Linked DNA regions of Saccharomyces cerevisiae S288C. Changing the gene in region 1 together with any one later gene gives a genetic interaction. Each region holds a gene or a part of one and is shown on either strand. Other genes may lie near its edges. The genes, in order: BI4 and NAM2.

Region 1 (8,234 bases):
TATATTTAATATAATATATTAAATATAAATTATAAAGGAATATATATAAATAACCCCGAAAGGAGAAATAAATAATATATTTTTATTAATAATTATTATTTATTTTTTTTATATAAAATAAATAAGATTAAATAATAATAATTTTATTAATATTTTTAATATCAATAGATGCTGGTGTTACTAAAGGATTACCAGGAATATAGTTATCAGGATGCTTTTATAATAAATATAAAATGGACTATATCTTCATAAAAATTTATATTACACTATCTTATTTCATAAACTATTATTATTTCTTCAATCATGTTTAATGATCAGAATTTTATTTAATAAGATTGTAAAAATATAATCTACCGATTCATAATAATTTATATTATCTTTAACAATAATTTACAAAGATGTTATATTATTATAAGGAATCTTTAAATATTTTATAAATTAGATAATATAATAATGAATACGGAGAAAATTTAATTATTATTTCATTTTTCATTAAATTTTAATCAAGCTTTATATAAAGCAGTATTATGAGGTGCTTTAAAAGCTAATAAATCATATAAATAATAAAATTTATCAATTAAAAATAAACGTTTACCTTTATTAGATTTAGAAGGACAACTTTTATTATAAAGATAAAAAATATTATGTAATTCTTTATTATTAATAGATCATTTAAAATAACCATTTTTAGCTTTATCAAAATAAATATTACCACCAAATACTTCTCTATAGTATTCAACATCATGTAAATATTTATTTGTAACGCTAATAGTTAATTGAGGTCTAATTTTTAATTTACCGGAATAATAATAATTAATAGTACCATCAGCATCAAAGAACCCTATAAATCAAGCATTATCTTTAGTTAATTTAATAGGTTCTTTAAAATCGATATTTAATAAAATACATACTTTATTAAATTGTACTAATCTTTTACTATTACGAATATTACCATTAACGGCATTAATTAATTTAATTATACCTTCTTTATTTTGTAATCTATATCTAATAGCCTTAACACCTGATCTTAATTTTACAGAACCACCAAATTTATCTTGGATTTGTCTTAACATTTTTTCATCTTTTAATTCTACAAGAATTTCACAAGATGCATATTTATTTTTAGTAATACAAAAATAACCATCTCCGTCAATTAAACCGGCCAATCATTGGTTAAATCTAATATTACTATCTTTATAAATACTATAATGTCTTTTAAGAATAATTTGATTTATTTTTTTTATATTAAAAATATTTAATAAATAATTAAATTTATTTTTTAGTGTGCGTGTAGTCTCTGAAGTATCTACTAATAAATTCTTTTTATTACTCGTTAAGTGAGTATTAGAAGAATTTATATTGGTTACCTGCTGATTATCTTCTTTATAATAATATTTTACTCTATTGGGATTAAATAAATCACTTACAATATTTATTTTATTATATTGCTTTGTTCAATTAAATTTTAATACGAAATTATTTAATTGTTTTGTATTTAAAATATTTTGAATAATAAAATAATATAGAGTTTTATTATAAATTTTTCATTGATATTTAATAAATAAAGATTTCCAGCATACAGCACATAAAATATTAATTACATATGTAATTAATAATAAGGCCATATTTTGACCTAAAGTATTAGGTGAATAGAATACAAATAATGCTAAAATTAACATAAATAAGAAAACAGTTACTAAATCTTTAAAAATAAAGTATGAATGCATTGGAATTCTATCTAAATTACCTGTAATACCTAATGGATTAGATGAACCATGAATATGTAATGCCATTAAATGCATAATAACCATTGCAGCAATGATAAAAGGTACTAAATAATGTAACGCAAAGAATCTCTGGATTAGAGGGTTAGATACTGAGCTTTTAATGTTTAAATAGTTACATATTTGAAAACTATTATCAATATATCACTATATTGTTCGGACTATATCTTAATCCTATTTATGTATATATATAATTATATATAAATATTTATAAATGATTATATATTAATCATAATATTTATTTATAAAAAAAAAAGATAAATATTACTTCTAAAGTTTTTATTTCTTATTTATTAATCATAAATTATAATTAATAAAATTATACTTTTTAATTTATAGTTTCGATATCCTAAAATAGAAATAAAAATACCATAAAATGATAAGATTTTAATTATTAATAAAAATTAATAATGAAGGAGAAAATAAATATAATAAAATAATAAATAGTTCAAAGGAATTATTTATTGATAATAATATATTTAATATATAATTAAACTCCTTCGGGGTTCGGTCCCCCTCCCGTTAGAATAGGGAGGGGTCCCTCACTCCTCCGGGGTCCGCCCCGCGGGGCGGGCCGGACTATATTTATAATAAATAATTATATATAAATTATATTTTGTTTATATAATTATATAATATATAAATATATTATTATTATATTTTTATATAAGATTAATATTTAGGAGGAATTTTAAAATAATTATTATATTTAAGAATAAGACGTAAATCTTTTAAGAATAATAAATATTGTAATTTTTTATAACCTAATAATTTAATAGGGTTATTATTAATAAATATTACAACATTTTTAATACCATTAATACTTTTAAGTGTTATTCTTGAATTATTAAATTTATCTGTATAAATATTTTGAGTAATTTTTAAATATGATTTAATAGCTAATATAACTTCTATACTATTATTTTGAGATACTTCAAAACTAGCAAGTTTTATTTTTTTATTTATAGGTTTATAAATACTAAAACAACTTTCAGCTTCAAAAAAACCAATTAATCATGAAGAAAAATAATTTTTATTTAAAATATCTTCAAGAGTATTAAATGGTTTAATAGGACGTAAATAATAAGATAAATCATTATAATATTTAATATCTTTTAATAAATTATCTTTAAAATATAAATAATCATAATGTTTATTAGTTAATATAGGATATTTATCAAAAATAGGAATAATAATATTCTTTAAATGATTTTTATTTCTTACATTAAATTTACATATTTCTTTAATAGTACCATCTTTTATTTTTAATTTTTTAATTGTTACTTTACCAATACCTAAAATATTTTTAATTTTATATAATAATTGAATATCTCTAATATGTATTTCAATACCTAATTCATATAATAAATATTTACCTTTTTTTGAAATAGTAATTCAACCATCTCCTTCAAATAAACCACCAATATATGCATAAATAGGATTATCTGTGTTTAATTTATGATTTTTATCATAAATAATAGTATTATTTATATAATAACTATAAAGTCTCTGAATAATTAATTTTATATATATATATATATTAATTACTGCTAATTTTCTTCTTATAATAAATATTTTAACTATATTATTTTTATTTCAAATTATATTATTATAAATAATTAATTGAATAATATAGTAATTTATTATTCAAATGAAGATATTTCAGCATAAAACAGATTTATTTAATATTATATTACTATAATATGGATCCTCTATATTAAACCCACCTCATAATCAAGATACAATATCGTTACCTACAAATGGAATTGCTGAGAATAAATTAGTAATAACTAGTGCCAAGAAAATAATATTATTTATAAATTATTATTATTTTTTAATAATAATAATCTCAATATTTATTGATTTATTAATATAAATAATACCCTGTATTTAATAATATCTACCCTTTTTATAATTCCATTTAATCACTATTTTCTCTTATGAATAAATATTTATACCTAATAATACCATAATATAAATATTATATATAAATGTTATATATAAATGTTATATATAAATGTTATGATGGGGTTATTATTATAAAAATATTAATCATAATAATTATAATTCATTATTTATATATTAATTAGGTAAATGGAATAATAACAGTAGTTATATATATAATATATATATATAGATTATTAAACCTTGTGTTATAATAATAATATTATAAATTTTCTTCGAATAAACATTAAATATTATTATTTTTTTTATAATAATACCTATTATTGGTGTATTCTGTTGGGATCATATAATTATATAACCCACTGTCTTGTTACTTAATAATATAATTTTGACATGTTTTCAATAATATCGCATTATAATAATATAATAATTAATATAATACTATATATTTTATTATAAATAATTACCTAATTTATATTTTATACTAGGAATAATATAAGGAGATACAATTTTAGTTAAAATAGGTATAGATTCTTTTCATACATAAATAACAAATTGTGTATTTTCTTTATTGCCTTTAAGAATAGTAGATTTAATATTATATTTATTATGTAATAAATAAAGTAAATATTGAACATCTTTATAACTAAAACAATTAGTTGTGAATTTTAAACCTTTACCTAATTTACATCCATCATCTATAATTCAAATAGCTAAAGCTAAAGGAGTTAAATAATTGTCTAAAGATTTAGGAATAACTTTAATATTACCTTTTCCAGATATATTTTTAATATACCATTCTGAATAAATCATATTAAATGAATCATAAGTTCATGTATTAAATTTTAAATATTGTCTAATTTTACCTTTTTTACCTAATCTAGTTTTAATTAAAGGTAAATTAGTATTACAATAACCTAAATTAGCTAATAAACTATGTAAATAATATAAATAATTAATATTACAATATTCTTGTTGAAATACAATTCTTGTTCCTTTACCACCTTTTCTTTTTTCAGCATGACCATCTCCTAATATTGAACCATAAATAATTGATAAAATGTTTATATTTAATGGACCAATATTATTATTTATATCTTTCTTATTTGTTATATTTAAATTAATTATATATTTATTTTTATTAATATAATCTATACTCTTAATTAATATAAGATATTCTTTAGTTTTTATTATTTGTCTTATTATAATCGTATAAAAAATATAAATTAATAATATTAACATTATTATATAAATTAGTTTTATTATATTAAATATATTTGAGGCGATATTTATATTACCTCAATGTGACAATTGTGATAGGTAGATCTTTACAAATTTTCCCCCACTCAGAACTGTACGTACTACTTTCATAGTATACAGCTCAAACAATTTATATACTATATAAATCATCCTATATTGAAGTTAGCATGCTTTCACATTAATCATTTATTCGTTATTATTATTAATTAATTAATTAATTAATTAATAATAATATTAACCATTATTAATATATTTTTATTAAAATATATAAATAATTTGATCTATATTATACATTACATATAATCTTTAGCTTTTTCAATAGTCTTTTACCCACTTATCTATATTATAATTTCTATTATTATTTATTTAATAATATTATATATAACTACCATATAATATTTATATTAATATTATATGGAAATAATTGGGCTTACCAAGTTTATATTATTATACTTTCAATAATTCACTTAGGATTCTAATTTTATACCGATGAGTATTAACGTATATATATGTATTCTAGACAGAATTGAATATCTTACTTCTCATATAATTATTTTTATTTATTATTATTTATTAATTAATAATAGAAAAAAATATTGTTTATGTTACGATATTTTATAATATTAGATTGACTTACGCTATCCATATGAATCTTACCTTAATAATTAATAATAATTATTATTATTAGAGTTTCATACAAAATTATTACTAATAATGCATGTCTAATTAGGTATATGTTATATATAAACATAATCATTTCATTAAAATAATTTATTTAATGGTATGATATTATAATAATATACTTATACTTGTCTCACTCTGTCCATAAACACAACAATAACCTAAAAAAGCTGTAGCAATAGTTAAAATGAAAATAATAACACCTACATTTCATAATAGTACTCTTGGTGATCTATATGAACCATAATATAAACCTTTAGCCATATGCATAAACATTACCATAAAAAAGAATGATGCACCATTTGCATGTAAATATCTTAAAATATAACCATTATGCACATCTCTTATAATATGTTCAACAGATGAAAAAGCTAATTCAATATTAGATGAATAATGCATAGCCATAAAAATACCTGTTACAATTTGAATAACTAAACATAAACCTAATAATGAACCCATATTTCATCAATAATTAATTGATGATGGTTGTGGTGAATCAATAATATAACTATTCACTAAACTTAAATACACATTTGATTTTCTAAATGCCATATTATTATTATTTATTTATAAAATATTAATAATATTATTTATTACTAATATTTTATATATATTAATTAATAAAAAATATATAAATATATATTATTAATTAATACTTATTATATATATATATATTTATAATTATATATATAATTATATTATAATATTAAAAACTATTTTTTTATTATATATACATATTTTATTATATATAAATTATAATTATTAAAAAAAAAAGATATTTCTCATTTTTTTTTCATTAATATAATCCATTAAAAAAAAAAGTTAATAGATTTTATTAATATTATTATTATTATTTATTAAATATAAACCTCGCGGGCGCCAATCCGGTCAACTACTGGGTTGGTCATTGGTCCCGTGGATAATATTAATTATATTATATCATTATTAATTTTTTTAATAAAAAGTTAATAATATAATATAATATTTAAAAATATTTATTTAATAATAAATAAATAAATAAATAAATAAATAAATAAATAAATAAATAATATTGACGATTATATTAATATTAATGATATCATTATTATTTAATAATAATTAATATTATGAAAGATTTTTATATTAATATTATATAAATATAATATTAATAATTTTTATATTATTTATTAATATTGTTATTATTATTATTATATTAACAATAATTTATTGTTAATATGTTATTTATATTATTATTAATTTATATTCTCCTTTCGGGGTTCCGGCTCCCGTGACCGGGCCCCGGAACTATAAAAAAAAATAAAATAAATTATATTATTATATATTATATTAAAAAAAAAAATTAAATATATAATAATTATAGAATTAATTAATAACAATTATTATTATTATTATTATACATAAATATTATTTATATAATTTATTATAATATTTATTTAAAAATATTATAATGAAAAATATATTATATATTTTATTATAGTATAATAACAATCGGTATTTATTATTATGAATATATTATTTGTATTAAAAAAAAATATATATATATATATAATTGTATTATATAAAATGTATATTATTAATAATTATTAATTAATATAAAGAATATGTTTAATTATATATACTTTTTTTACAAATATTTATTATTATGAATAACCTTAATCGGAATCGAACCGATATTATCAACATGAAGAGGTGATGTCGTAACCATTAGACGATAAGGTCTATATTTATTAATAATATATATATATATAATTATTATTATTATTAATAAATTATAAAAATAAAATTATTATTATTATTATTAAGTTTATTATTACTATTTATTAACCTAATTAAAATTAAATTAAATAAAATAAAATAAAATAAAATAAAATAAAATAAAATAAAATAAAATAAAATAAAATAAAACTTCTTCTTTAAATAAAAAAGGGGTTCGGTTCCCACGGGGTCCCGCACTCCTTCTTAAATAGGGGTTCGGTCCCCCAAAGGGATCTATCACTCCTTCCTAAAAATAATTAAATATTTTTAATATATATATATATATACATATATATATTAATTTTATTAATTCATTTAAAATTTATATTTATTAATATAATTTATATATTTATCTTATTCCTCCTTTCGGGGTTCCGGCTCCCGTGGCCGGGCCCCGGAACTATTAATATATAAATTGAATTATAATTATTTTATATTATTTTTATATATTACTTATATAATATTTCTTATAATTATATTAAGATTATATATATAAATAGGTTATTATATATTATTATATATATATACTTATTAATTAAATATATTTATATTTTATATTAATGAAGTAAATATTTTATTTAATATATATATATATATATAAATTTATTTATTATAAATTATATTCTTTTTATATTTATATTTATTATTAATTAATTAATTAATTAATTAATTAATTAATTAATTAATTAAATTATTATAATTGTTATTATAAATTATAATTATTATTATTATTTTATTTTTAATAAAATTATTATAATATTAAAAAAGGGAGATAAATAATATTTATATAATCTCCTTTTGGGATTCCGGTCTTTGGCCTGGTATCCAAAACTTATATATTATATTAAT
Region 2 (5,076 bases), on another chromosome or scaffold:
TCCTAATTTTCTCAGTAACTTCATCAACTTTCTGTTGAATGCCACTGATTTCATTCTCTAAATTTTTACAAGCATCTGTATTATGGGCAACATCGATCCATAACGATTTCGCTTGCAAAAGCATTTTCCTTTCGTTCAAGTCTGAAGTCTGATTTAATTCCCTTAACAGTTTTTTGGCATCTTCGTATTCAGCTTTCAAAGACTTCAAATTCTCCAGGTGCAGAGCCATATTTTCTTGTGCACTATCGTGAATAGCACTGGCGTAAAGCAAATTCTCGGTAATTTCTTGAAGTAAAGTACCCTTCATAAAATGGCTATACTTATCCTGTGAGGTACTAGCAGTTAAGAAAGACCTAGCAGCGTCTTGTGACAGGAAACACATGGGGTTGCTTACAGGAACAGAAAAATAGTCCACTACCGTCTGAATATCCTTTTTCTTATTGCTAATTTCCTTGCCGTTTTCCGACCTTAAACTAAAAGAAGCGGGCCCATCTCTCTTAATTATCCTTTCTACTATAATTTCGTTACCAAAAATACCTTGCTGATAAGCACCATACTTGCTATTATCCAGATGAAGGATGATTTTAGCAGAATAACAACCTTCACGAATCAAATCCTTCAAAGAGGAACCTCTGTTAGTCTCGCTAGCCTTGGCTCCCAAACCAATAGTAATGGCGGTCAAAATTGCACTTTTACCACTACCATTATTACCAACAATAAAATTCAGCCTAGAACCAAGCTCAAGTTCAAAATGTTCATGGCACATAAAGTTTCGCAAGATCACTTTCTTAATATATCCTGAAGGTGACTCTTCCAAAAAGTTATCTTGATCCGCCGTGGCCACGTCAGAGGAGCTCCTAAACCCGCTGTCTTCATCTAGTGTATTGCTGTTAAACTGTGTCATGGGGGCAAATTGATGACGTCTGCGTTTTCTCTGCTGCTGCTGCTCTTCGTTTTCCTGCTGCGCAGTCAGTGAAAGTAGCTCATCATCAACCTGCTCTATAGGTCTTTTACCACTAATCGTAGTCGAAATCATACCATTTAGCAATCTAACAAGAATATGCTCTTTATTATTATTAACAGCAGCTACTTATCTCTTGCGAACCTATATGCCTCTTGTCTTTTTTTCTTATTATGAACTTCACTACATGAAATATAAATATTCATGTTGATAGATCCAAACATTGAAATTTAGTATACGCGACGCGTTTTTGGCAAGTTTAACTTAGAATTTTCACTATAAAACAGAAATTTTGATAAAACTTGGATGAAAATGTTCCTTTTGCCTAACTATCAAATACCACAGAAAAATCTTTAATACCATGCCATACTACTCCTGGTCTGTTCATGAACTTGCTTGACATTTCCCTACCTCTGACACACTTTTTGATCCAAGAATCTCATTTCTTATCTCCGCGAAGAATCAAAGAAACCGAAGAAAGTCGTTTTGTTGCTCCGGTGGAGAATCAAGAACTTGGAGGAAGGAGCACAGCAGAGTGTTAAACAAGGCGCTAGTACTCTATATTGTAGAGTCTGTACGTGAATAAATCGACGTGTGTGTACGGTGGAAAAATGCTGTCTCGACCTTCAAGCCGATTCCTATCCACTAAAAGGGGCCCTGGACCTGCAGTGAAAAAATTAATTGCAATTGGGGAGAAATGGAAACAGAAGACAACCCGTGGCTTGCCTAAGCAGGATACTCTGAATAGCGGGTCGAAATATATTCTGTGCCAGTTTCCATATCCTTCTGGGGCGCTTCACATAGGACATCTCCGAGTTTATGTCATTAGCGACTCTTTGAATAGATTTTACAAACAAAAAGGGTACAACGTGATACATCCGATGGGATGGGATGCTTTTGGGTTACCTGCCGAGAACGCTGCTATAGAAAGAAGCATTAATCCGGCCATATGGACTAGGGACAATATTGCAAAAATGAAACAACAAATGCAAAGTATGCTGGCAAATTTTGATTGGGACAGAGAAATAACTACATGTGATCCCGAATACTATAAATTCACCCAATGGATTTTCTTAAAACTTTTTGAAAATGGCTTAGCTTATCGTAAAGAAGCAGAAATTAATTGGGATCCCGTTGATATGACAGTTTTGGCTAATGAACAAGTGGATGCCCAGGGCCGTTCTTGGAGATCAGGGGCTATTGTGGAAAAGAAGCAGCTAAAACAGTGGTTTTTGGGAATAACGAAATTCGCTCCTAAATTGAAAAAGCACTTGAACCAACTGAAGGACTGGCCTTCCAACGTGAAGCAAATGCAAAAAAATTGGATAGGCGAATCTGTGGGTGCAGAATTAGTGTTCAAAGTTGCGGACCCCAAATTTGAAAACTTGATTGTCTTTACAACAAGACCGGAAACTCTTTTTGCTGTACAGTATGTTGCTCTCGCATTAGACCACCCAATTGTACAAAAATACTGCGAGGAAATGCCGGATTTAAAAGAGTTTATACAGAAAAGTGATCAATTACCAAACGATACGAAGGAAGGATTTCAGTTACCTAACATAAAGGCCGTAAATCCCTTAACTAAAGAGGAAGTCCCCATATTTGCAGCTCCATATGTGGTCAGCAGCTATGGTTCAGCACCTAGTGCAGTAATGGGTTGTCCAGGACACGATAACCGAGATTTTGAGTTTTGGCAAACAAATTGTCCTGGTGAACATATCAAGACGTGCATAGCACCTTTTTTTGACGATGCTTCAAAAGTAACTGAACAGGAAAGACAAAGAATAATTGATACTGTCCCGTTCACATCTACTGACGGTGTCCTAACCAAAGAATGCGGAGAACACTCAGGAGTTCTCACTGTAGTGGCAAGGAAATCGATAATGGGGATGTTGAATAGCGAAGGACTGTCTAAGAGCGTCGTTAGATACAAAATTAGAGATTGGCTGATAAGTAGACAAAGATACTGGGGTACTCCAATACCCATCATTCACTGCGACAACTGTGGACCTGTCCCCGTTCCAGAAAGTGATCTACCTGTCAAGCTACCAGAACTTGAAGGCTTGGATACAAAAGGGAATCCGCTGTCCACAATCGATGAATTTGTAAATGTCGCCTGTCCTTCATGCGGGAGCCCTGCGAAAAGAGAAACTGACACCATGGATACTTTTATCGATAGTTCTTGGTATTATTTCAGATTCTTGGATCCCAAAAACACTTCAAAACCATTTGATCGTGAAATTGCAAGTAAAAATATGCCGGTTGATATTTATATTGGTGGAGTAGAACATGCTATCTTACACTTGTTATACTCAAGGTTTATTGCTAAATTTCTCGGATCTATCAATGCATGGAGCGACCCTGCTGGCATCTTCGAACCATTCAAAAAACTGGTGACACAAGGAATGGTTCAAGGGAAAACCTATGTTGACCCCGATTCTGGTAAATTTTTGAAGCCTGACGAGTTAACCTTTGTAAATGACTCTCCAGATGGCAACACAGTGATTATTAAATCAAATGGCAAGGTTCCGGTAGTCTCTTATGAAAAAATGTCGAAATCTAAATACAATGGTGCAGATCCAAATGAATGTATTTTAAGACATGGACCTGATGCTACGAGAGCACATATCCTCTTCCAAAGTCCAATTGCAGATGCCCTGAATTGGGATGAATCCAAGATTGTTGGTATAGAACGTTGGTTGCAGAAGGTTCTTCATTTGACCAAAAATATTCTCAGTCTCGAGAAGGATTTGGCAATAAGTAAAGACTACAAGACCCCGACCGACTTAAATGATGCAGAAGTGAAATTTCACAACGATTTCCAACGCTTCTTGAAATCAATTACGGAATCATTTGAAGTTAATCTATCGTTAAACACTGTAATATCTGATTATATGAAGCTAACCAATATTTTAGAAAGTGCATTGAAAAAAGGTGAAGTAAGGAATGAAATGATAGTACAGAATTTACAAAAGTTGGTAACCGTTATATATCCTGCTGTCCCGTCAATTTCAGAAGAAGCTGCAGAGATGATCAACTCCCAAATGGAATGGAACCAATACCGCTGGCCAGAAGTTGAGCGCACTACTGAGTCCAAATTCAAAAAGTTTCAAATTGTGGTAAATGGCAGAGTCAAATTCATGTACACGGCTGACAAAAACTTTTTGAAATTAGGTAGGGATGCTGTTATTGAAACTTTGATGAACTTACCGGAAGGGAGAATGTATTTGATGAATAAAAAAATCAAAAAATTTGTCATGAAATTCAATGTGATTAGTTTCTTATTCCACAAGTAATCATATGACGCCATGAATTTACCACTAGTGCTTGTAAATAGTTAAATATTAATGCCTTATAGATATAAATTGTCCAATCTCCTTTTTGGAAGTTATAATATATATATATATATATATATGTATATAAATGTGGATGCATATTCTAAGAATTTTGAACGCTATACTTTGAGAGACTCTTCAAATATGTAAACAAGAATGCTGCAATGTCTCTATATGGATTAGCAGTGTTACTCAAATGCATTAAAATCTTTACTCTCAAGTCGTGAATGTTATTAACGCCCTTTATCCAACCATGCTGGCCAATCTCATCATGATGAACTCGAAAGAAATTGTTAAACGTCTCTTCATTTATGATCCCACTGGTGAATTTTATTTTGGTATTTTCGGCCGTTTCCAGTCGTCTTAGAATAATAATACATATGTAGGATAGCGCTGGTATACCAGTTATCGTGAAAAATTTAGCGTTCTTGAAGTCTGCAGTTGGGATATAAAGATTCTCCAAAATCTGCTTAAAGAAATCTGGTGAGACTCCAAACAAACTTTTGGATGACAGAACTTTATTCCTGTAAAGATAATTTGTCAAATCCATGATATATTGGTTCTGCATCCGAACGAATTTGTTTGTTGACGGGTATTGCATCAATTTATTTTTCGTAGCAACCAAGTACCTGCACGCAGCTGATAATAGCAAAGGATCGTCCGAACTGAACACTTTATTCATGATGTCAGGGCCCACAATCAAATATTGGATCGCATAATCCGACTTCGTTTGTTTCGACAGTTGAGTTAAAATATCTAACGAGCTGATGAAAGCCATCG

What was found.
Region 2: of BI4 (region 1) and NAM2, changing one suppresses a phenotype caused by changing the other (phenotypic suppression), as found in Saccharomyces cerevisiae (one study listed by BioGRID).

What each region holds. Positions count from the first base shown.
Region 1 is NC_001224.1:34,488-42,721, reverse strand, and holds BI4 (intron-encoded RNA maturase bI4), read right to left. Parts: upstream 6,183-8,234; coding exon 5,768-6,182; intron 5,000-5,767; coding exon 4,986-4,999; coding exon of another isoform or gene 4,143-4,985; intron 3,582-4,142; coding exon 3,505-3,581; coding exon of another isoform or gene 2,457-3,504; intron 1,882-2,456; coding exon 471-1,881; downstream 1-470. Other genes in the region: COB (cytochrome b), read right to left, coding at 164-214, 1,632-1,881, 3,505-3,581, 4,986-4,999, 5,768-6,182; cytochrome b mRNA maturase bI2, read right to left, coding at 4,143-4,999, 5,768-6,182; cytochrome b mRNA maturase bI3, read right to left, coding at 2,457-3,581, 4,986-4,999, 5,768-6,182. UniProt on the Saccharomyces cerevisiae protein: Mitochondrial mRNA maturase required for splicing of intron 4 of the cytochrome b (COB) gene, containing its own coding sequence, and intron 4 in COX1, coding for the related homing endonuclease aI4.
Region 2 is NC_001144.5:881,248-886,323, reverse strand, and holds NAM2 (leucine--tRNA ligase NAM2), read left to right. Parts: upstream 1-1,572; coding exon 1,573-4,257; downstream 4,258-5,076. Other genes in the region: DNA repair protein SMC6, read right to left, coding at 1-1,036; CTF3 (Ctf3p), read right to left, coding at 4,400-5,076. UniProt on the Saccharomyces cerevisiae protein: Catalyzes the attachment of leucine to tRNA(Leu) in the mitochondrion.